Ovis aries: one gene and its partner. The protein of the gene in region 1 interacts with the protein of each later gene in a biochemical or structural test. Links are inferred from orthologs where the notes say so. Each region holds a gene or a part of one and is shown in the gene's direction. Other genes may lie near its edges.

Region 1 (11,477 bases):
GAGATCTCTAGTCTTTTGCACTCTATTGTTTTCCTCTATTTCTTTGCACTGATCGCTGAGGAAGGCTTTCTTATCTCTCCTTGCTATTCTTTGGAACTTTGCATTCAAATGGGTATATCTTTCCTTTTCTCCTTTGTTTTTTTGCTTCTCTTCTTTTCACAGCTGTTTGTAAGGCCTGCCCAGACAGCCATTTTGCTTTTTGCATTTCTTTTTCTTGGGGATGGTCTTGATCCCTGTCTCCTGTACAATGTCACTAAGTATTTATCAAAATACTTAGATACATATCTAATAGAATATATACAAGATCTATATGAGAAAAACTATGAAATTCTGAATAATGAAATCTAAGTAAAAAGAGAGATAGATATCCACATTCATGGATAAGAAGACTCAATATTGTCCAGATGTCAGTTCTTCTAAAGTTGATCTGTAGATTCAGTGAATCCCAAATTCCAGCAAGTTATTTTGAGGTTATCAGCAAACTGATTCTAAAATTTTTATGAAGCAGCAAAAGACCCCTTTTTTAAAAAAAAAAAATGGGCAAAACGCCTCACCAGTTAAAATATACAGATGGCAAATAACCACATGAAAGGAAAATTTCAGGGAAATGGGAATTAAACAATGAGATACTACTACATACCTATTAAAATGGCCAAAACCCAAACCCAAACACTGTCAACACCAAGAACTGGTGAGGATATGGAACAATAGGAATACTCCTTCTTTGCTGGTGGTACAGCCACTTTGGAAGACAGTTTGGTAGTGTCTTACAAACTGAACATACTTTTACCATATAATCCAGCAATTGTGCTCCTTGATATAAGCCAAATTACTTGAAAACAAGTTCACATAAAAACCTGCAAACATATTGTTTGAGGGAATGTAAAATGGTACAACTACTGTGGAAAAGCAGTCTGAGTTACTCAAAAAATTAAATATAGAATTACCATATGATCCAGCAATTTCAGTCTTGGTGTATAATCAAATAATTAAAATGAGGGTCTTGAAAAGATATTTGTACATCCATGTTCATAGCAGGATCATAGCAGCTAAAATGTGAAAACAATCCAATTGTCCATCAATGAATGAATGGATAAGCAAAATGCGATACATACATACAATGTAATATTATTCAGCTTTAAAAAGGAAGGACATTCTACAATATGCTATACCAGGATGAACCTTGAAGACATTATGCTAAGTGAAATAACCCAGTCACAAAGTACAAATGCTGTGTAATTATACTTACATAAAATACTTACAGCGGTCAAAATCAGAGACAGAAAGTAGGATGGTGGTTGTCAGTAGCTGAGGGAAGGGGAAAAAGAAGAATTATTGTTTAATGGATAGTTGGAGACTTCCCTGGTGGCTCAGGTGGTAAACAGTCTGTCTACAACGCGGGAGACCTGGGTTCGATCCCTGGGTCAGGAAGTTCCCTGGAGCAGGAAAAGGCAACCCACTCCAGTACTCTTGCCTAGAAAAGCCCATGGACGGAGGAGCCTGGTGTCCATGGGGTCGCAAAGAGTCAGACACAACTGAGCGACTTCACTCACTTTCACTTGGTTTTACAAGATGAAAAGTGTTCTGGAGATGGATGCTGGTGATGGTTGCAAAATATTATGAACATATTTAACATTGAACTTTACACTTAAAATGGTTAAGGTGGTAAATTTTATGTTGTGTATTTTACTACAATAAAAATAGTTGGGAAAAAGATCCCTATACACAGATGTTTATAGTAGATTTATCCAAAATTGCCAAAACTTGGAAGCGACTAAAATGTCCTTCAGTGGATAAATGAATAAATAAACTGTGAGATAGCTAGAGAGTGGAATATTATTCAGTGATAAAAAGAAATCATCAAGGCATGAATAGAAACAGAGGAATCTTAGTTTTCACTTAAGTGAAAGAAGTGTGAAAAGACTACATGCTGTAAGATACTAAATATATGACATTTTGAAAAAAATCAAACCATGGAGACTGCTAAGACATCAGTGGTTGCCAAAGGAGGAATGAATAGGCTGAGTGCAGAAGAGTTTTAGGGCAGCGAAACTATTCTGTATGACATTATAATGGTACGTGCACATAATTATATATTGGTCTAAACCCATAGAATGTACACCACCATGAGTGAACCCTAACATAAACAAGCATTTTGTGTGATAGCTTACCAGTTTAACAAATGTTTGGGACTTCCCTGGTGGTCCAGTGGTTAAGAATCTGCCCACCAATGCAGGGAACATGGATTCAATCCCTGGTCTGGGAAGATTCACATGCTGCAGAGTAACTAAGCCCATGGTCCACAGCTACTCAGCTCATGCACCTAGAGCTTGTGCTGTGTAACAACAGAAGCCACTGCAAGGAGAAGCCCGTGCACCACAACTAGAAAGACCCCACTTGCCACAAGTAGAGAAAGCATACTCACAGCAATGAAGACTCAATGCAACCAAAAATAAACAAATAAGCTGGTCTGGTGCAGGGTGTTGATAATGGGGGAGGCTATGCATGTATGGGGGTAGGGGTATATGGTAAATCTCTGTACCTTCTGCTCAGTTTTTTGATGTGAACCTAAAACTGGTCTAAAGTGTTATTAAAAAAAAAAATCTGGCTCAACAGAAGATACTAGATTTTCATCTCTGTTTCTGCGTTAGATATCCTGGTCAGAGAAAACAAGAATCAGACAAAGCAATGAAGGCATATTTTATTCAGTACCTGTTGCAATAGGAGACAAGAGACTCAGTATAGAATTAGACTTCACTCTATATTATATAAAAAGGACAAGTGGGAATTTATGGGCAAGGAACAGGGTGGGGGACAGTGGATGGAAAATTACAAAGAGGAAACATCAGGGATAAAAGAAAATTCTGGCTAAAAACATTGATAGGATTTCTGCTAAAGGCAGGCCAAGGTGGTCAGATACAAAGGGAGAGGGACTCTGGCTAAGCTAATTCAACTATATTCTTGCTAAACTGAAATAAATAGGTCAAGCACAAAGCCCAAAGTTAGAGCCTTGAGGGCTTAGAGGAGCCTGACTAGAGCTGGGTCTAGAAGAGTCTTTGTCACTTCAATAGTGTTGGTTATTTTTTTATTTAAAATTGTTTTGTAATTAGATCACCCTTTCTGGTATACAGGACACTTCCCAAATGTTCCCTCCTAAAACTAGATTAGGAAGAAAGATCATTGAATAGCTACTTCGTTACAAAAGTACACATGGATGCTAAAGGCATTGAAGATAAGTCTTCTCCCATTCTCTTGTTTTTATACACTGAGAAAAGACTATCAGAACGAAAAATGACGTAGTTCCCTCTCCCAACCTAATAGAGGCAACTGGTATATAATTTAAATACTGGCTTTACCCCCTGGGTAGCCATGTGAAGCCATATTTCTATTCCTGTAAAACAGGAATGTTAACATCAACCTTTCAAGACTCAGGCTAATAAATGGAAGTTATGGTTTCATTCATTCTTACATATATATTCAGATATACACACATCTGTGTATATACATAGAAATTATGTTAAACTATACACATAAATAGATACATAGAATATAATATAGTAATGGATCCCATTTATTTTATATTTTTACATATATTTCAACTAAATGAAATCAAGGGCAGCTATATGAAGAAAGTAGCATCTAAGGACGATCTTAAAAGATAGTTGGATTTCAACAAAAGGGAACAGCATGGCAAGGGATCAGAAATGGAAAAGCATAGTGAAAATTGAGGGCATGGTAAGTATTATGATGTGGCTGGAGTATAGGATGCCTGGTTGGAGTCAAGAGTCATATAGGCGGGATGGGGAAGGAGGTGGGAGGAAGTTTCAAGAGGGAGGTGACTTATGTATACCTATGGCTGATTCATGTTGATGTTTGGCAGAAACCAACACAATTCTATAAAGCAATTATCCTTCAATTAAAAAATAAATTTAAAATTTAAAAAGTCATAGTGGAGATCAGGATGGGACCAAATGGTTCAAGGCCTTAATGTCATGCTAAATTTCTGAACCACAAGTCTATGAACGCTCTCTGATCACATTCTTCATGACAGTAGTGTGGAGAATGTATAGATGGTGCAGAAGCAAGGGCTTCATTAAGAAGTTGTCACAACAGTTCAGAGGGGACCAGGGAAATAGCAATAAGAGAAAAGAAGAAAATACCTGAAAATTTCCTTCCAAATGATCCAATAATTTTATTTGTCCAAGCCACAGCATTAAGCAATGATTCTTGGGGATGTGTGAAAGATTCTGATAACAAACATGGCATTACAGATACACCTATTCAGGTGGGAGCCATTAACAGGAAGAAAGGTAAGTCTTGGAAAAGAGGGAAAATAGCACAATGGTTACATTTAATGTGTGATATGAGTGTATTCAAATAAAATATGTGATTTTGCAGAACAAGGACTTCAAAGTTACAGCATTTAGGACATGTCATTTTAACACAGTTCTACTTCCAAGAATCCTTTCTGATCCTCACCCAATGCTCTAAGTACTCCCTACTGTGCCCTCTAGAGGAGAAGGCAATGGCACCCTACTCCAGTACTCTTGCCTGGAAAATCCCAGGGACAAAGGAGCCTGGAGGGCTGCCGTCTATGGGGTCGCACAGAGTCGGACAAAACTGACGCGACTTAGCAGCAGCAGCAGCAGCAGTGCCCTCTAGAAACCTGTCCTGGGGGTGGCAGGAGACCTCACTGTTTACATATCTTCCTAGGTGGATTCTGGGCTCCATCAAGAATAAGCCAGATTTCCTTAGTGCCTAATATAGAGTCTAGTGGGGAAAAAAAAAAAAAAAGTAAATGAAGAATGAAAAAAAGACAGTCAAGACCCTCTTTTCCCCTCGTTGAATGAATATTAGAGCATTCTCATCTTTCTTATTTCCTCCCTCTACATACATTGCCTCTTGAACTCTTTGTTATTTCGGTTAAGAAGAAAGGCTATTCTGCCTCAGGCAATGTGCCAGGTCTTTGTACAGAGGAGGGGCAGATTCAGCTTGATCTGGCTGTGATAGAGACTCACAGGGACTCAGGAACTGAGTGCTCAGGGACTATGAGCACAGAGGAGGTAACTAACCCAGACAGGAGGGTTAGAGGACAGGCTTCCCAGTGGAATCAAAGTTGAGTCCAAGAAGGACAAGTGTGGATATAGTTTGATGGAAGGTATAAGCTCAGGAGTGGGGAGAAGTGAGTTTATGTCAGAGAAACATCATAGGTAAAGACCTCAGCCAGAGGGAATAGTCTTCTAGATAACTGAAAACTATTCAGACATCCTAAAGATTAGAATATGTGAGGGAACAAGGCCACAAATGAGACTGGGGAGGTAGCCAGATTTGTAAACCATTTAAGAATTAATACTTCAGTCATAACAGTATTGGGAAGTTTTTAATGAATGTTTTAAAAGGCTTAAATTCCTCCTACAGGAATGACCTGATCAGATTTACATTTTAAAAAGATAACTGTACAAATAGTAAATTGAATGGGGGCAATGGCGAACGCAGGGGAAATAGTTCAAAGTATTACAGCAGAGAAATGACGGTAGCTTGTACTATGGTGGTAAGAATAGAAATAAATAGAATAATCGGTTGAAGAATTCTTCTGACTGTGATGTAGGAGGATTGCAAAGTGACTGGGGAGGTAGTGAGTTTGGACTTTATTCTGAAGGGATAGAATATTTTAATATTTTAGTCATGGGAGTAATCCATTCAGATATGGGTTTTAAAATGGATTACTTGGCAGAAGGTGGCCAGAAGACTGTCAAAACAACGCACAGTTAAGAGCTGAGACAAGCGAAGAGGGAGCAGAGCGCGTGGGGAGGAACCGAAGACCCAAAAGAGGTATCGGAATCGCGTCCCAGGCTGTCAGAGAAGCAGAAACTGACGCAGCCCCAGAAACAGCTGCTGGGGACGGGGGAGGGGCAGGGGGGTGGCAAAGGAGCAGGGAGCACAGCCGGAGCTACCCACGCCTCCCAGCGCCGGGGGCGGGACCAGGGCACGCACGGCGGCGTGACGCAGGGCCGCAGCTGGCCTCGTTCTGGCCGCCGCCGCCGCTGCGAAGCGGAGTAGGATGAGGCCCGCGGCTGCGGCTCCGGCGTCGGCGGGGCCAGCAGTAGCAGCTGAGGCAGCAGCTGAGGGAGCCGCGACGGCTGCGCCCCCCCACTCCTGACCTGGATTAGGCCCAGCAGCTCCGTGGCCGCCGCCGCCCCGCGGGGGGGCGGGGTGGGGAAGTGCTTCGTCTCCCCGCCCCCCCCCCCCACTGCCGCCGCCTCAGGAGGCAACCGCCGCGACCCCGGGAAACCCGCGGCCCAGCCTTAAGCCCCCAGCCCCAGGGACTGGCATGAGCTGCCCTTCGGCGGCGCCGGGGGCCGGGGGAGCCGCTGCCGCCTGAACCCCGGCCTGCCGCCCGACCCCACCTCGCTGACCGAGGCTGACCGCGGAGCGTGCGAACGACCCCGCCACTGCTTTCTTCCTCCCCCAGATCACACACCCCAGCTCCAGAAGATGGGGAACTGCCTCAAGTCCCCCACTTCGGATGACATCTCCCTGCTTCACGAGTCTCAGTCCGACCGGGCCAGCTTTGGCGAGGGGACGGAGCCGGATCAGGAGCCGCCGCCGCCATATCAGGTAGGGGAGGGTGTGTGTTGGGGAAGGGGGGTGCGAGGAGTAGAGGCGGCTCTGGCGGAGATTGTGGGGGCTTCGGGGCTGTCTGTCACTGTCCCTGGCCTCGGCAACACCCGGCCTGAGAGGCACTGGACCCCCTTAGGGCTGGGTTTAAGTGTGATTGATCCCATCGTCAGTGTAGGGGGAATCCTTCACCTCCCTTCGAGCAGTGTGGGGATACTTCTGTCCTTGAGTTCTGGGATTCGAGTGTGTGACTATATCCCCTTGGCCAGTGACTGGTGGCTAGATTGTGGAGTTCGGAAGTGATATTTTCATGCCTTTATATGTGCATTGTGAGGTTCGAAGGTGATTTCCTCATCACCGGCTGGATTATGGGTTCTGGATAAGTGGTTAACCTCCCCCCACTACCCCACCCCACCACACATACATCCCATTTATACTTTAAAGTGTGATCCTCCTCTCCTCCCTCTCGTCTGTCTGTATTCATTGAATTTAGTAGGCGTTCATTTCTTCCTGTGCTTGGGAGATTTTCAAGTAGTGATTTTGGTTCCAGCAACATGGAGTTGCTTCTTTACATATATATGTATACATATTTATGTGTGTGTGTGTGTTTATACTAATTGTAGGAGTCAGCTTAGCGACTGAACAGCAACAACAGTATTAATTCTGAACCCCTCCTCTTTTTGCTCCACCCCTGTGACACACCTTTTAAACGCGCTGATTTAGAGAACTTGATTATCTTGAACTTTGGAAACCTTTAAACCTTACTTGAGAAATACCTTCTGTTACTCATGGTTTCTCCGTGTGTATCAAAGACTTGTCTTCTAAATGACTTCACTGCTTTTTGTGCAGCAGTCAGCAGCTCCAGATGTCTTTACACGATTTGTAAAGAGCTGAAGCCCTCTTTAGAAAACTCAAAATAGATAGGTAGATGTTATAATCCATAATATATATATAAACCTTTCCTCTACTATTTCAAGATGTTGATTAAAAACTTTACCAGAAGGACTTGGATAGTTAAGTGGCTTAATTTTTTTTCCTGATTGGGGTTTAATTTTCTAACTGGGCAGTCTCCTTTGTTGTTTCATGTGGTGACATCATTATCTAGTGTTATTCTTTTCTCATTCCTATGTTAATCAGTGTCTCACCACACCAGAAAAACCTGATCACAAATGCTGGTTTTCTGAATAAAACCCATCAGGGGCCTTTCATATATGCTGGTAAAGTCCAGTCTTTTCATGTGGCTTACAGAAGACTCCATGATTTATCCCTCACATTCATATTCCAGGCCTGTCAAACACAACAGCTTATTCACACCTCTCTGCCTTAGTTCCAATTGCTCTCTCTGGAACCCTTCCCCCAAGGTCAGCAGGTGAGCGTGTAATCCTCTTTGAGGACTCAGCTGAGCTGTATCTGAAGTTCCTAAATTCCCCTCCCTTTCGCCCTGAATCAATCACTCCCTTCTTTGTGTCTCCCCTGAAGGAAGTGTCTGCACTTTCAAAAGCAACGCATATAACACTTATATGTTGTCCTTGTTAAGTTAGATGTGTGTCTCATTCTTGAGGCATTTCCCTCCTTCTCCAGTATAAGCTGAATGCAGGTAGGAACTCTGTTTCCTGTTTGTTGTATCCTCAACATCTGGCTTCATAGTAGTTGCTCAGTAACTGGAATAAGGGAAAACTCTAAGCCCTTGAGAACAGGGACTACCCGCCAGTGCTTAGTGCAGTTTCTGGCTCATGAACACTTAAATGTTGAGTGAATTAATGAATTTAAATGGAGTATTGTTATGTAAGTTTACACACCCATTTCTTCCAAAGAATTGTCACAGGAGAAGTCTCTTTAAAAATCCAAACCAAATCTAAGTGCTTTCCTGAGTCTTTGAAGCAAGTAAATTGTTTCACTCTTACTTTCCTTCAAATTTCACTCTTGATTTCCTTCATAAATGTTTATAGGACAATGTGCTTATTTCCATTTCATGAAAAAAATTTTTTAGAGGTACGAGTTTTTATTTCAGAATCTCCTATATTCCTTAGTCCTCTTATAAGCAAGTAAAATACCTTCAACTTATTGTACTCTTTCTCTTAAATACATGTATATCTTATACATTGTTAAGAATAACTTCTTTAGAATTTATGGAGATTGTATTCAATATTTGCCTTTTCCAGGAGGATAAGATAATAAAGAGAGGGTTTTTTTGGTATCAGGTAGAAAGGTCTTTTTGAAATGTTTGTGACAATGGGAGTTTTTCGTGGTTTCCTTTTCCTGAAATGAACAACCCAGATACTGATAGGCAACTTTGGTATCAATTTGAAGAAAGTAATTTCTTCAAAGATAAAAGTATAAAAAGAGAAACTTTTGTAAAAATTTGTCTTACCTGAAGGAACTGAAATGTTTTAGGAATGTAAAATATGTGTTAGGAATGTAAAATTCAGATTGTCTGAGAAACACCAATCCAAGATAAATAATTTATACTTTTAATGAACAGAAGTAACTTATTTTTTCTTCAAAAATAGTATATAATTGACAGCTATAGAAATACTGGCTTATTTCTTTAAAGAATAGTTTCAGCTACAAAAGGATGTTTTAAAAATTCAGAGAATAACTGATTGTAAAGGAACGCATTTGGTATTCTGCAGTGAGTAGTTAAAAGATGTGTGTACATATATATGCCAAGAGCTCTATAATAAACTTCAATAAGATCCAATTATTTCCTATTAGCAGGATCTGAGATTTGTTTTATCTATTTATGCTTGAAAGTAAGCATAAATAAACTGTGGTCAAGTTTATGGAAAATACATATTTCTCTCCTGGGTTTCTTTTGTAGCCTCCTCACTGGTCTCACTCCTTTCACCCTTGCTCTCCCTTTAATCTATATTTAATCTGTCATCCAGATTGTTTCTGGTAAAATAGATCATGACACTCTACCAAACTTTCTGTGAATCCTCATTTCATTCAAAGTAAAATCCAGATTCCTTAGTGTCCCATAAACCCTACATGATCTGTACTCTCTGCCCGCATACGTAGCTCTCTTTATCCTTGCTGCTACTCTACCCGTGCTGGCTTCTCTTTAACCTCTCTGGCCTCTTTGTTCTAGGATACACCAGAACTTTTGCCCTTGTTGATTCTGTGCCTTGAGTACTTTTCCCCCAGGTATCATCATGGCTGACTCCTTTCCTTTCAAGTTTTTACTCAAATTGTGTCACCTTCTTAAATCCTCTCTGACCACCCTATTTAAAATTGCATTTACCTTAGCTCTCTGCTAAGCTTACCTTGTTCTGTTATTTTCCCATAGCATTTATCATTTTCTAACATTATTTATTATTATCTGTTTCTCCTGCTGGTGGTAAACTCCATGAAGAAAAGGGAGTGTTAAAAAAAATTGTGGTTTCCCAAGTGCCTAGAATAGTGCCGGGACATAACAGGCACTCAGTTACTGGTTGAAGACTGGATTTCCTTTAAATGAATTAATATATTTATTTTGAGGCAAATGCAATTGAATGTCTTATAAAAATTATGCATATTCCTAGTGCCTTTTTCCTTTATTGTGGGTCATTTTTAAGAAATCAATCCTAAAAATCTAATCCCAATAATACTAAATATAGTAACTGGTTTAAAATAATCATTGATAAAATAGTGTAATTTTTTTCAACCCTTTGTAATCTTAACAAAATGTTTATGAGAAAGAATGTGAATTCTTGTCCTTAAAGAAATCTGAGATAAGAGGTTAGAGCTGTTCTTGAATTAGAAGATTAAAAACAAGAAATTTGACATACCATCTACTCTTTAAGGAAGGAATTTTTAAAAAGAATACAAAGGAAATCTACCCATCAAGGACAGTCTTAGAAGGGTTGTTAGAAGGAAGATAAGTCATGAAAGGCTGAGGAAAGGGCCAGGTAAGATAGCCCAGCCTTGGAAGGTGTAAGTGAACTAATTGAAAAACCACTAGTCACTCAAAGACCCCCATTCCTCTGCAAAAAAGCTCTTTACAGTATTTTTATCTGAATAGGTATATATTTGCACAAAATGGTATCTCTCAGTTTTGCATCAGTTGTATGTTCAGTAGTTTGAGATTTACTGATCTCTTCTGTCCTGCACTTTGTGATTAATACATATGAGATTTTGAAATCAGAAGAAAAATTATAATACAGCACTGAGTGCAGTTGTAGCTCTGGTTTTGGAGTCAGATGGGTCTGAGTACATATCCTGGTTGTTACTTATATGTAGACTATGAAGAGGGTTTATCAGATTATGTTACGTCTTGAGGAGCTTCTTTCACAAATAACAAACATAACATTTTGGATATTTCAAACTGACTGAAAGTTGTTTTTTTAAGGCGTGGTCTCTCCTTTACTCTCTCTCGTTTAAAAATCTAGACTAAGAAAATACTTATTTTTAAGCTTTCGAACCTGTAATAAATAATACCTTGTTTTTTTGATATCTTTATGAAGTTCAGGTAATTGAGGTTTTGAGGGTTTTTTTGTGTGTTATTTTTAATGTACTAGTATTTTGTTTACCATTTTGCTGAAAACTACCTCAATGTATCTCACATATCTTACTCTTAATAAACAAATTATTTAACATATCTTACTCTTACTAATCGAATTGTTTGTGAGATTTTATCCCTCCCCTCTTAAAGTTCTACCTTTTCATTGAGGTGCAGATCAACTACAACCTCTTTAATAAAGCTTCCACTTTCATTTTTCCCTCTCTTGATTTCTTCCAGTACAGTACTTTTTCCGTGTAATATTTATCTGGAAATCATATATTACCTTATTAATTAGTTCTTGATGCTTTAACATTTATTATTTTTCCAGATCACAATTTTCTTAAAAGTGAGAATGATGTGTTCAGATTTTAAAAGT
Region 2 (11,477 bases), about 910 kb from region 1:
GTTTCCATTGTTTCCCCATCAGTTTGCCATGAAGTCATGGGCCCAGATGCCATAATCTTATTTTCTTAATGTTGAGTTTTAAGCCAACTTTTTCACTCTCCTCTTTCACTTTCATCAAGAGGCTCTTTAGTTCTTCTTTGCTTTCTGCCATAAGGGTGGTGTTATCTGCATTTCTGAGGTTATTGCTATTTCTCCCAACAAACTTTATTCCAACTTGTGCTTCATCCAGTCCAGCATTTCTCATGTTTACTCTGCATATAAGTTTAATAAGCAGGGTGACAATATACAGCTTTGATGTACTCCTTTCCCGATTTTGAAGCAGTCTTTTGTTCCATGTCCAGTTCTAACTGTTGCTTCTTGACCTGCATACAGATTTCTCAGGAGGCAGGTAAGGTGGTCTGGTAGTCCCATCTCTTTAAGAATTTTCCATAGTTTGTTGTGATCCACAGAGTCAGAGGCTTTGGTGTAGTTAGTAAAGCAGAAGTAGATGTTTTTCTGGAACTCTCTTGCTGTTTCAGTGATCCAGTGGATATTGGCAATTTGATCTCTGTTTCCTCTACCTTTTCTAAACCCAGCTTGAATATCTGGAAGTTCATGGTTCACGTACTGTTGAAGCCTGGCTTGGAGAATTTTGAGCATTACTTTGCTAGTGCATGAGATGAGTACAATTGTGGGGTAGTTTGAGCATTCTTTGGCGTTGCCTTTCTTTGGGATTGGAATGAAAACTGACCTTTTCCAATCCTGTGGCCACTGCTGAGTCTTGCAAATTTGCTGTCATTTTGATTGTAGCACTTTCATAGCATCATCTTTTAGGATTTGAAATAGTTCAACTGGAGTTCCATCACCTCCACTAGCTTTGTAGTGATGCTTCCAAAGGCCCACTTGACTTCACATTCCAGGATGTCTGGCTCTAGGTGAGTGATCACACCGTCGTGGCTATCTGGGTCATAAAGATCTTTTTTGTATAGTTCTTCTGTGTATTCTTGCCACCTTTTCTTAATATCTTCTGCTTCTGTTTAGGTCCATACTATTTCTGCCCTTTATTGTGCCCATCTTTGCATGAAATGTTCCCTTGCTATCTCTGATTTTCTTGAAGAGATCTCTAGTCTTTCCCATTCAATTATTTTCCTCTATTTCTTTGCACTGATCATGGAGGAAGGCTTTCTCATCTCTCCTTGCTGTTCTTGGGAACTCTGCATTCAAATGGGTATGTTTTTCCTTTTCTCCTTTGCCTTTAGTTTCTTACGTTATGTTTTGAATTCACCAATAGAATGAGCCCCTGGGAAGCCCCAGGCATCCCGTCTTCCCTTTGTTTGCCTGGACTGCCAGACTGGAGTTCCAGTTTTGTAACTCCTACGGTTGCTACACTGGCAACAAATCAGTAGAGAGAGGCAAGTATTGGTTTGAAAATGTGTGATTGCTTTATTCAGGAGGTTGACAGCCGGGGGAGAAGGCGAACTCTAAAACCAACTCTGAAGATCCTGCTCAGCCATTAAAGATTTTAAAGGGAGAATCATTTGGGGAGGGGGTCAGAGCCTTTATTATCTTCTACCGTGTACAGACTTACCTCTGATTGGTTGGTGATGAGGTAACAGAGTGGTGTTCCAGGAGTCTTGTGTTTAGTGTGAAGTTGCCACCCTCCACCTGTGTGGGGGCTTTAGTTCCTACAGAAGAACTCGAAGGCATTGTTATATATATGTTCCTTGAGGAGGAACCAGGACTGCGCCACGGCTGTACTATCGCTTCCTGACTGCTCCTTTTCCTTCTGCCCTTCCTTCCCGATAAGCAACTGTTTGAATCTGCCCTTTGGAACTCAGGGAAGACCAGGGAGGCTGAATGAAACCTCTTTCCTGCAAACAAGAGATGGGAGACACAGAAAAGATTTGTATCCTGGAGGGCCCCACAGGGTCATGCTCTGTTTCATAATCTTTATTATTTCCTTCCTTCTGCTTGCTTTGGGTTTAGTTTGCCTCCTGCCCCCCTCCTTGTTTTATTTTTAGTTTCTAAAGGTAGAAAGTTACTATTTGTAATTTTACTTTTTTTAAAAAAAAGTAGATGTTTAAAATAGTATAAAATTTCCTCTAAGCATTGCTTTCAGTGTATCCCATAACTTTTGGTATGTTGTATTTGGTTTCTTAAAGTATTTTCATTTCACCTGAAAGTATTTTGTAATATTCCTTGTGATTTATAATTTGACATGTTTGTTTAGTGTGTTGCTTAGTTTTCATATAGTTTTGAATTTCAAAGGAAATTCTACTTTCATTCCATTGTGGTCAGAAAGCATACTTTGTATGATTTCATTCCTTCTTAATGTATTGAGGCTTGTTTTATGGCTTAACCTGGTCTCTCCTAATCATGTGCACTTGGGAAGAATGTATATCCTGCTGTTGTTGGATGGAGTGTTTGTAGAGGTCTTTAGGTCTAATTGGCATACAGCGTTCATGTTTTCTTTTTCTTTACTAATCTTCTCCCTACTCCACAATTGAAAGTGGGGTAGTGAAACATACAACTCTTATTATTGAATTGTCTGTTTCTTACTTCAGTTCTGTCAGTTTATGCTTCATGTATTTTGGCGCTCTGTTGTGAGGTGCCCTAGCTTTAATTCTGCTGCATAATGTGAATTGGATGCTATGTATGTGGACACTTTTGGTAACTCAGTAAACATTATTCCCATTTTATGTACTGTGACCAATAAATGGAATTTGTTTTGATGTGGCTTTGATGCTTAAATGGTTTTGACTAGTAGTAAGTTATTTTGTCTTGGTTTCCCAGGTGGTGCAGTGGTAAAAATTACGCCTGCCAGTGTAGGGGACACAAGAGACGGGTTTGATCCCTGGGTTGGGAAGATCCCTTGGAGAAGGAAATGGCAACCCACTCCAGTATTCTTGCCTGGAAGATTCCATGGGCGGAGGAGCCTGGTGGACTACAGTCCATAGGGTCACAGAATCGGACATGGCTGAGCACCAGAGGTTATTTTGTCTAGGTTACATAAAGATGCACTTGTGTCTGAGAAGACTTAACTTTACTACGGCAGTGGTTCATTTTAAGGGTTTATGTATATGTGAGTCTGAGTGAACTGAAGCAGTTTAAACATGGCAGAGATAAAGTATTTAATAATGACTTTGCCAGTACTGATTTTTTTTTCCTAAACTTTTTATTTAAGTATAGCTGATTTATAGTGTTAAGGTTAGTTCTAGGTATACGGCATAGTGATGCAGTTTCAAAATGTGTGTGTATGTGTATATATATATATATTTGTTTTTCAGATTCTCTCCATTATGGGTTATTATAAGATAGTAAATTTATTTCTCTGTTGTATATAGTAGGTTCTTTTTATCTGTTTTATATATTGCAGTGTATATCTGTTAATCTCAAGCTTCTAATTTATCCTTCCTGCTCCTTACCCTTTTGGTAACCATAAGTTTGTTTTCTATGTCTGTGAGTCTATTTCTGTTTTATAAATAAATTAACTTGTATCATTTTTTGATTCCATATATGTGATTTCATGTGATATTTATCTTTCTCTGTCTGATTAGCCAGTATTAATTTTTAGTGAGAATAGAGGGCAGATGATAGTGTAATGTTCCTGACTATCTCTAGAATAATTTGAGTCAGTACCCATTATTATTAAACTACTAAGAGTATCTACTTTTTATACAACCAGGTCCTAAAGTATATCTGGCTTTGGAGGAAGAAGGAAATAGAAAAGTATCCTTGATGTTACATCTTTTGACATAAGTGGTATCAAATGAGCAAATTGAAACCCAGAGCTTTATTAACTTGATGAAGGTCACTGGTAGGTGCTCTTTTCATTTTCTATTCTCTTAGTCTTTCCTTCAACAAATATGCCAGGCTGTGGAGATGCAGCTATGACCCAGTCAGACATGAATGATCCTTGCTCTTATGAATTGTCTGGTGGGATTCTTTTAGTGTAGTCTTTGAGTCCTATTTCATATAGTAGTGACATAGAATTGTAGAATACTTTATAAAATATTTCTGCATTTTAATCTAATTTTATAACTCTTATTGCAGTCTTGTGACCCAGGTGGGTTAGATATAGTATTGCTGTTATTCCCATTTGAAAACTTAAGGAAACTGAGACTTAGGGATATTTAGGTGATGTAGTAAATGGCTGAGTTAATATGCAGACCCAGATCGTCTGGCTCCAGGGATCCTGCACTTCTTCCATTATGCCATTGTCTCACTGTTTCACATGAGACTACAAGCCTAGATCACCAAGAGTGATATTCCGGAAAATAATCAGCCTCACAGCATTTAGCAAAGCAGAGAGCTCTGTCAGGCAGGGCATGTGGGACGAGGAATCAGGAGACCCAAACGACTGTGTCTAGTGCGCTGGTCTGGACTTATTTCTAAATAACGCATTGAGAAGGAATAATTTGGAGGGAAACTAAAGCTTGAGACACATTGCACGGACGTGGTCTCAGCAGCACCTACGTGGGCTCACAGCATAGTAACTGCCAGGGACATTTTTTTTTTCCTAGAACAAAGACTTGAAACAGATGGTGAATTCAAGAAGTGACCTAAACAACACCAGAGTCCTAAACAACAGCTCCATACAGAGCTTCTACAGCTGCAAATCAGAGTCTAATCTTTATATGAGGAAGGGATTGTTTGTTTTTCATTGATTACCTCAGCTGCTATCACACAGGTTCAGAGATAGCAGTCTCTTCAGTAAAAACAATTGAGTACTTCCTCTGTGTAAAAACACTGTTAGGTATTGTGGGAGTGATACCAACATAGGTATGATGCCATCCTTGCCCACAAGGAGCTTGTAACCTAGTAAGGAGATTTTGCATTCATTCAAACAATATGTGTTTATCCAGAGTCCATTATGTGTCAGGCCCTGTACCACATGTTAAGGAAACAAGAGTAGATAAGATAGAAACCATCCCTTTGCCTTTAGCTTTTACTTTCCATTGCCTGAAGAGTATTCCTTACCTTCTTCCCCTGAATCTAAGCACTCAGAAATCTTTTTAGAGAGCAGAACATGAAATTCTCTTAGCAGGACAGTAGTCAGCACTGCTATTCTTGTAACTTGGCCACAAATAGAACCCCACAGTTGTGGGTCAGAGCTTAGGCATCATGCTATGAAATATTTGCATCTCATCTAGTGTCACATTAAGAAGAGTGCAAAACATCCTGATAGAAGAAACGGATAAGAGATCTGAACAGATCACAGAATAGAAAGTAAAAAAGATAAAATGTATGTCAGTCTTATCGATAATCAGAGAAATGGTGATTAAATAGTAAAATGATATTTTCACCTCTCTCATTGGCAAGAAAGTTGGTTAGAGCAAATTTAAGTAATAATTACAAGACAACTTTATTGAATACTTTCTCTGTGGCAGGCACAACAGTCTTTACAATAATCCTAGTGAGGTGGGTACTATTATTATTATTGTTTTATTGTTAAGGTACTTGAGGCACAAGGATAGAGAAACTTGTCCAAGGTCAGACATTCAGTACTTACTAAGCCCAAATTTGAATTCAGGCAACCTATATCTAGAGCCTGTACTCTTTTTTTTTTAAAATTTATTTTAATTGGAGGATAATTGTTTTACAATGTTGTATTGGCTTCTGCTGTACAACAGTGTGAATCAGCCATAAATATACATTTGAGCCCTCCCTCTTTCTAGAGCCTGAATTCTTAATCACCAAAGTGGTGCCTTTGTCTGAATTGGTTACCATTATGCTGTATGCTCAGCCTAAAAAAGGTCTTAACTATTTGTTGAATGAATTCTTAAAATGAAAATGTATTAGGCATATCATTTTTAGGGTAGTTTATGAATAGCGAAGAAGACACATACTAATAACTCAATAATCCTATTTCTTAATATGTATCTTAAAAAAAACATGTGTGTAAGGAGGCACTTACATGGCAGCATTCTTGGTACTTGTTGAAAAATAGAAAATGTAAATGCTCATCAGTACTGTAAATAACTACTAACATAACTAATGTATCAGTTCAGTTCAGTCGCTCAGTCGTGTCCGACTCCTTGCGACCCCGTGAATCGCAGCACGCCAGGCCTCCCTGTCCATCACCAACTCCCGGAGTTCACTAAGACTCACGTCCATCGAGTCGGTGATGCCATCCAGCCATCTCATCCTCTGTCGTCCCCTTCTCCTCCTGCCCCAAATCCCTCCCAGCATCAGAGTCTTTTCCAATGAGTCAACTCTTCGCATGAGGTGGCCAAAGTACTGGAGCCTCAGCTTTAGCATCATTCCTTGCAAAGAAATCCCAGGGCTGATCTCCTTCAGAATGGACTGGTTGGATCTCCTTGCAGTCCATGGGGCTCTCAAGAGTCTTCTCCAACACCACAGTTCAAAAGCATCAATTCTTCGGCACTCAGCCTTGTTCACTAATGTATAGCTCTATATAATTATTAAACATTTAAATAAGCTATGATATAGGAATATTTAAAAATTCTATATGCATAGATAAATAAATGAAGTATGATGTGGAAAGTTATATAGGATTTATTTTGGAATGAGAAAAGCAAGTTACAGAACTTTTACTGCCAAAATAGATTCTAGACAATGAAAGAGTGAAACAAAAATAGCCATGAAAATAGCAGGGAAAACATATGTTAACATTTTTATAATATTGGAATGAGAAAGGCTTTTCTAAGCATGATGTGAAATGTAAAAACCATAAAGGAAACTGATGAATTTGATTACAAAAAAATGGATGACTTCCAAGTAGAAAAAAAAGAATAAGCATTAAACTGGAATAGAGATCCTAATAAAGTGGATGAACAAGAGCCTATTATACAGAGTGAAGTTAGTTATAAAAAAACCAAATATCATATATTAATGCATCTAGAAATATGGAACTGATGAACCTGTCTGCAGGGCAATATTGGAGATGCAGACAGAGAACAGACTTGTAGACACAGTGAGGGAAGAAGAGGGGGGATGAACTGACACAATAGCATTGAAATATATACATTACCATGTGTAAAACTAGAAAGCCTGTAGAAATTTGCTGTGTGACATAGGAAGCTCAAATCTGGTGCTCTGTGACAACCTCTAGGGGTGAGATGGGGTAGGAGGTGTAATGGAGGTTCAAGAAGGAGAGGACATATGTATACTTATGGCTGATTTGTATTGCTATATAGCAGAAACCAATGCAATATTGTAAAGCAGTTATCCTCCAATTAAAGATAAATTTAAATAAAAACAACTCCAAACATTGTGTGTGTGTCTGTGTGTATATATTGGAGAAGGCAATGGCAACCCACTCCAGTACTCTTGCCTGGAAAATCCCAAGGATGGAGGAGCCTGGTGGCTTAATATATATATGTGTGTGTGTGTGTGTGTGTGTGTGTCTGTGTGTGTGTGTGTGTCTGTGTGTCTGTGTGTGTCTGTGTGTGTGTGTGTGTAGGCTTCCCTGGTGGCTCAGATGGTAAGGAATCTACCAGTAATGTGGGAGACCCAGGTTAGGTCCTTGGGTCAGGAAGATCTGGAGGAGGAAATGCCTACCCACTCCTATATTCTTGCCTGGAGAATCCCGTGGATAGAGGAGCCCGCCAGGCCTCTGGGGTTGCGAAAAGTCGGACATGACTGAGTGACTAACCCAACCTATATATATATATGCCTATATGTAGACAAAAAAGCCAATAAGCATATGATAGATAAATAGATGTTCAGCTTTTACTCATAATTAAAAATACAAGTTAGAAGGATGTCCCTGGTAGTCCAGTTGTTGAGAGTCTGCTTTCTCTGGTCTGGGAGGATTCCACATGCCACAGGGCAACTGAGCCTGTAAGCTGCAGCTGCTGAAACCCACATCCCTAGAGCCTGTGCTCTGCAACAAGAAAAGCCATCACAGCAAGAACCCTATACTCGCACACTAGAGAAAGCCCACAGGTAGCAAAAAAGACCCAGTGCAGCCAGAAATAAAAAATTAATAAAAAATACTAAGTGAGATATCAGGTTCCATTGCTTCTACTGTGAAATTGGTAAAGATGGGTAATAATAATGATGAACTTATAGAAAGAATTTTACACAGAAATAGAAATAAGCACAGCATGTTTGGAAATTTTGGCAACATTTATTAAAATTCAGTCTGTGTAATACTTTTGTCTAAAATTCCACTTGTAGGGATTTATTGCATATTGAGGTGTAAATGTATGTGTACAAAGATATTCATTATATTGTATATAGTTATAAAAATATGAAGACAATCTAGATGTATGTTGAAAGGGATGAGAGTTAAATTGTAATACATGTAATGGAGTGCTGTTCAGCTGTTTTAAGACTGTGGCAAACCCAGGTGTATACACATGCCCCATTTTACACTGCTTTGTATAGTGCTGATTGATTCTAATGCTACATTAAATAACCTTTGTGTGAATATAACAGTAGGCATGTGTATATTTTAAAAGTCCATTATAGTTACCCATTGATGTATATCTCTTTTTCCTTGCTCTGCTCTCATTACTATCACCTGTATTGGGAGCATTAAGTAATTCAGACATACTATGATCTAGTATTTAGATGTTGTTAAACTAGAGTTTCTTTTATTAGCAAAAAGAATAAGGACAACTTATAGCTCATGAGAGCATTTTTATACTTCAAATACTTCTAAATGCCAAAAAACAAGTGAAAGAGGAATGTTGTTTCCAAATGTATACATAACTAGTGGCTAAGACTCTGAGTTATGAAACCAGGATGCCTGGGTTCAAATCCTGGCTTTGTTACTGTGTATGACTTTGTGCAAGTTATTTAGCTTTTTTTGCCTCCATTTCCTCATTATTCGTCCAACAAATATTTGAGTGCTTTCTGTATGCCAGACACTATTTTGGATGCCAATGATAAAACAAGGAGGATTAAGACAAATTCTCTACCTTCCTGTGGTATGTGTACATTCTGAGGGACTTAATTCTATACCTTAGTATTTAGTGTTCATAAGAGGATTAAGGGTTTAATACCTCTAAATCACTTGTAATAATGTCTGGTACATAGTAAGTGGACAATAAATAATATTACTGTTGTTCTTCCCTCCCAAATAAATAGGTACATGGAATGTAATTTATTAACTATTTTATGAAAATTTTTGTTAAATAAAATAACATTCAAGGATATATAAAACACTATTTCAGTATATCCTTAAATTTTCCATATGCATGTTGCTCACATACATTTTTAGTCACTGAACTCTAGCCTGACAGATGGTGCTGTCCACTACCGGCCACTGAACTTTACCATATACCATATACCTTGTTGCAAAAGCTCTTAGCCCAAGAGTGTTCTCCTACTCTATTTTGAGTGTACTCAATGTTGAAGTGCAAAATTTTCAGTAGTTCTTCTAAGGAGTCTTGATGGAAATGCTACAAAATCAAGAGAGTAAAGATCAAAAAGCTATTAACATTGGTAAATTGAAGGTCATCATAAATATCAATGAAGCCTGGGATGATTAATAATTGTATAGCATCTAGTAGGAGAAATTATATGCTGTATTTATTGTGAATATACAAAATTTCAGCATATAATCTTTTTGTTGTTGTTCAGTGGCTCAGTTGTGTCCGACTTTGCGACTTCATGGACTAACAGCATGCCAGGCTTCCCTGTCCTTCCCTGTCTCCTGGATCTTGCTCAAACTCATGTCCTTTGAGTTGGTGGTGCCATCCAGCCATCTCATCCTCAGTCGTCCCCTTCTCCTCCTACCCTTCAGTCTTTCACAGCATCAGGGTCTTTTCTGAGTTGGCTCTTGGCATCAGGTGGCCAAAGTATTGGAGCTTCAGCTTCAGCATCAGTCCTTCCAGTAGGTATTCAGGGTTGATTTCCTTTAGGATTGACTGGTTTGATCTCCTTGCAGTCTAAGGGACTCTCAATAGTCTTCTCGACACTATAGTTCAAGAGCATGGATTCTTTGGCACTCAGCCTTCTTTATGATCCAATTCTCACATCCATACAAGACTACTGGAAAAACTGTAGGTTTGACTATATGGACCTTTGTTGGCAAAGTAATGCCTCTGCATTTTAATATGCTGTCTAGGTTTGTCATTGCTTTTCTTCCAAGGAGCAAGCGTCTTTTAATTTCATGGCTGCAGTCACCATTTGCAGTGATTTTGGAGCCCAAGAAAATAAAATCTGTCACTGTTCCCATTGTTTCCCCATCTATTTGCCGTGAAGTGATGGGACTTAATGCCATGATCTTAGTTTTTTCAGTACTGAGTTTTAAGCCAGCTTTTTCACTCTCCTCTTTCACCTTCACCGAGAGACTCTTTAGTTCCTCTTTGCTTTCTGCCATAAGGGTGGTGTCATGTGCATATCTGAGGTTATTGATATTTCTCCTGGCAATCTTGATTCCAGCTCATGCTTTATCCAGCCCAGAATTTTGCATGATGTACTCTGCATATAAGAGGCTTCCTTGGTGGCTCAGACGGTAAAGCGTCTGCCTACAATGCAGGAGACCCGGGTTCGATCCTTGGGTTGGGAAGATCCTCTGGAGAAGGAAATGGCAACCCACTCCAGTATCCATCCCATGGATGGAGGAGCGTGGTAGGCTACAGTACATGGGGTTGCAGAGAGTCAGACACGACTGAGCGACTTCAGTTTCAGTTTCACTCTGCATATAAGTTAAATAAGCAGGGTGACAGTATACAGCCTTGATGTACTCCTATCCTGATTTTGAACCAGCCGTCGTTCCTAGTGTGGTTCTAACTGTTGCTTCTTGACCTGCATACAGGTTTCTCAGGAGACAAGTAAGGTAGTCTGGTATTCCCATCTGTTTAAGAATTTTCCACAGTTTGTTGTGATCCACACAAAGGCTTCAACATAGTCAATGAAGCAGAAGTAGATGTTTTTCTGGAACTCTCTTGCTGTTTCTATGATCCAGCTGATGTTGACAATTTGATCTCTGGTTCCTCTGCCTTTTCTAAATCCAGCTTGACCATCTGGAAGTTCTCAGTTCACGTACTGTTGAAGCCTAGCTTGGAGAATTTTGAGCATTACTTTGCTAACATGTGAGATGAGTACAATTTTGTGGTAGTTTGAACATTCTTTGGCATTGCCTTTCTTTGGGATTGGAATGAGCACTGACCTTTTCCGGTCCTGTGGCTACTGCTGAGTTTTCTAGATTTGCTGGCATATTGAGTGCAGCACTTTCACAGCATCATCTTTTAGGATTTGACATAGCTCAGTTGGAATTCCATCACCTCCACTAGCTTTGTTCATAGTGATGCTTCCTAAGGCCCACTTGACTTCACTCTCCAAGATGTCTGGCTCTAGGTGAGTGATCACACCATCATGGTTATCCAGGTCATTAAGATCTTTTTTGTATAGTTCTTCTGTGTATTCTTGTCACCTCTTCTTAACATCTTCTGCTTCTGATAGGTCCATACTGTTTCTCTCCTTTATTGTGCCCATCTTTGCATGAAATGTCCCCTTGGTATCTCTAATTTTCTTAAAGAAATCTCTAGTCTTTCCTATACTATTGTTTTCGTTTATTT

The links.
Region 2: the proteins of RNF11 (region 1) and ZFYVE9 form a complex in vitro, tested with the Homo sapiens proteins (2 studies listed by BioGRID). The link is inferred for Ovis aries from reciprocal best matches to the Homo sapiens genes RNF11 and ZFYVE9.

The regions. Positions count from the first base shown.
Region 1 is NC_056054.1:25,679,700-25,691,176, forward strand, and holds the start of RNF11 (RING finger protein 11), read left to right. Parts: upstream 1-6,007; 5' UTR 6,008-6,495; coding exon 6,496-6,618; intron 6,619-11,477. UniProt on the Homo sapiens protein: Essential component of a ubiquitin-editing protein complex, comprising also TNFAIP3, ITCH and TAX1BP1, that ensures the transient nature of inflammatory signaling pathways. Promotes the association of TNFAIP3 to RIPK1 after TNF stimulation.
Region 2 is NC_056054.1:26,592,880-26,604,356, forward strand, and holds the start of ZFYVE9 (zinc finger FYVE domain-containing protein 9), read left to right. Parts: upstream 1-3,685; 5' UTR 3,686-3,796; intron 3,797-11,477. UniProt on the Homo sapiens protein: Early endosomal protein that functions to recruit SMAD2/SMAD3 to intracellular membranes and to the TGF-beta receptor.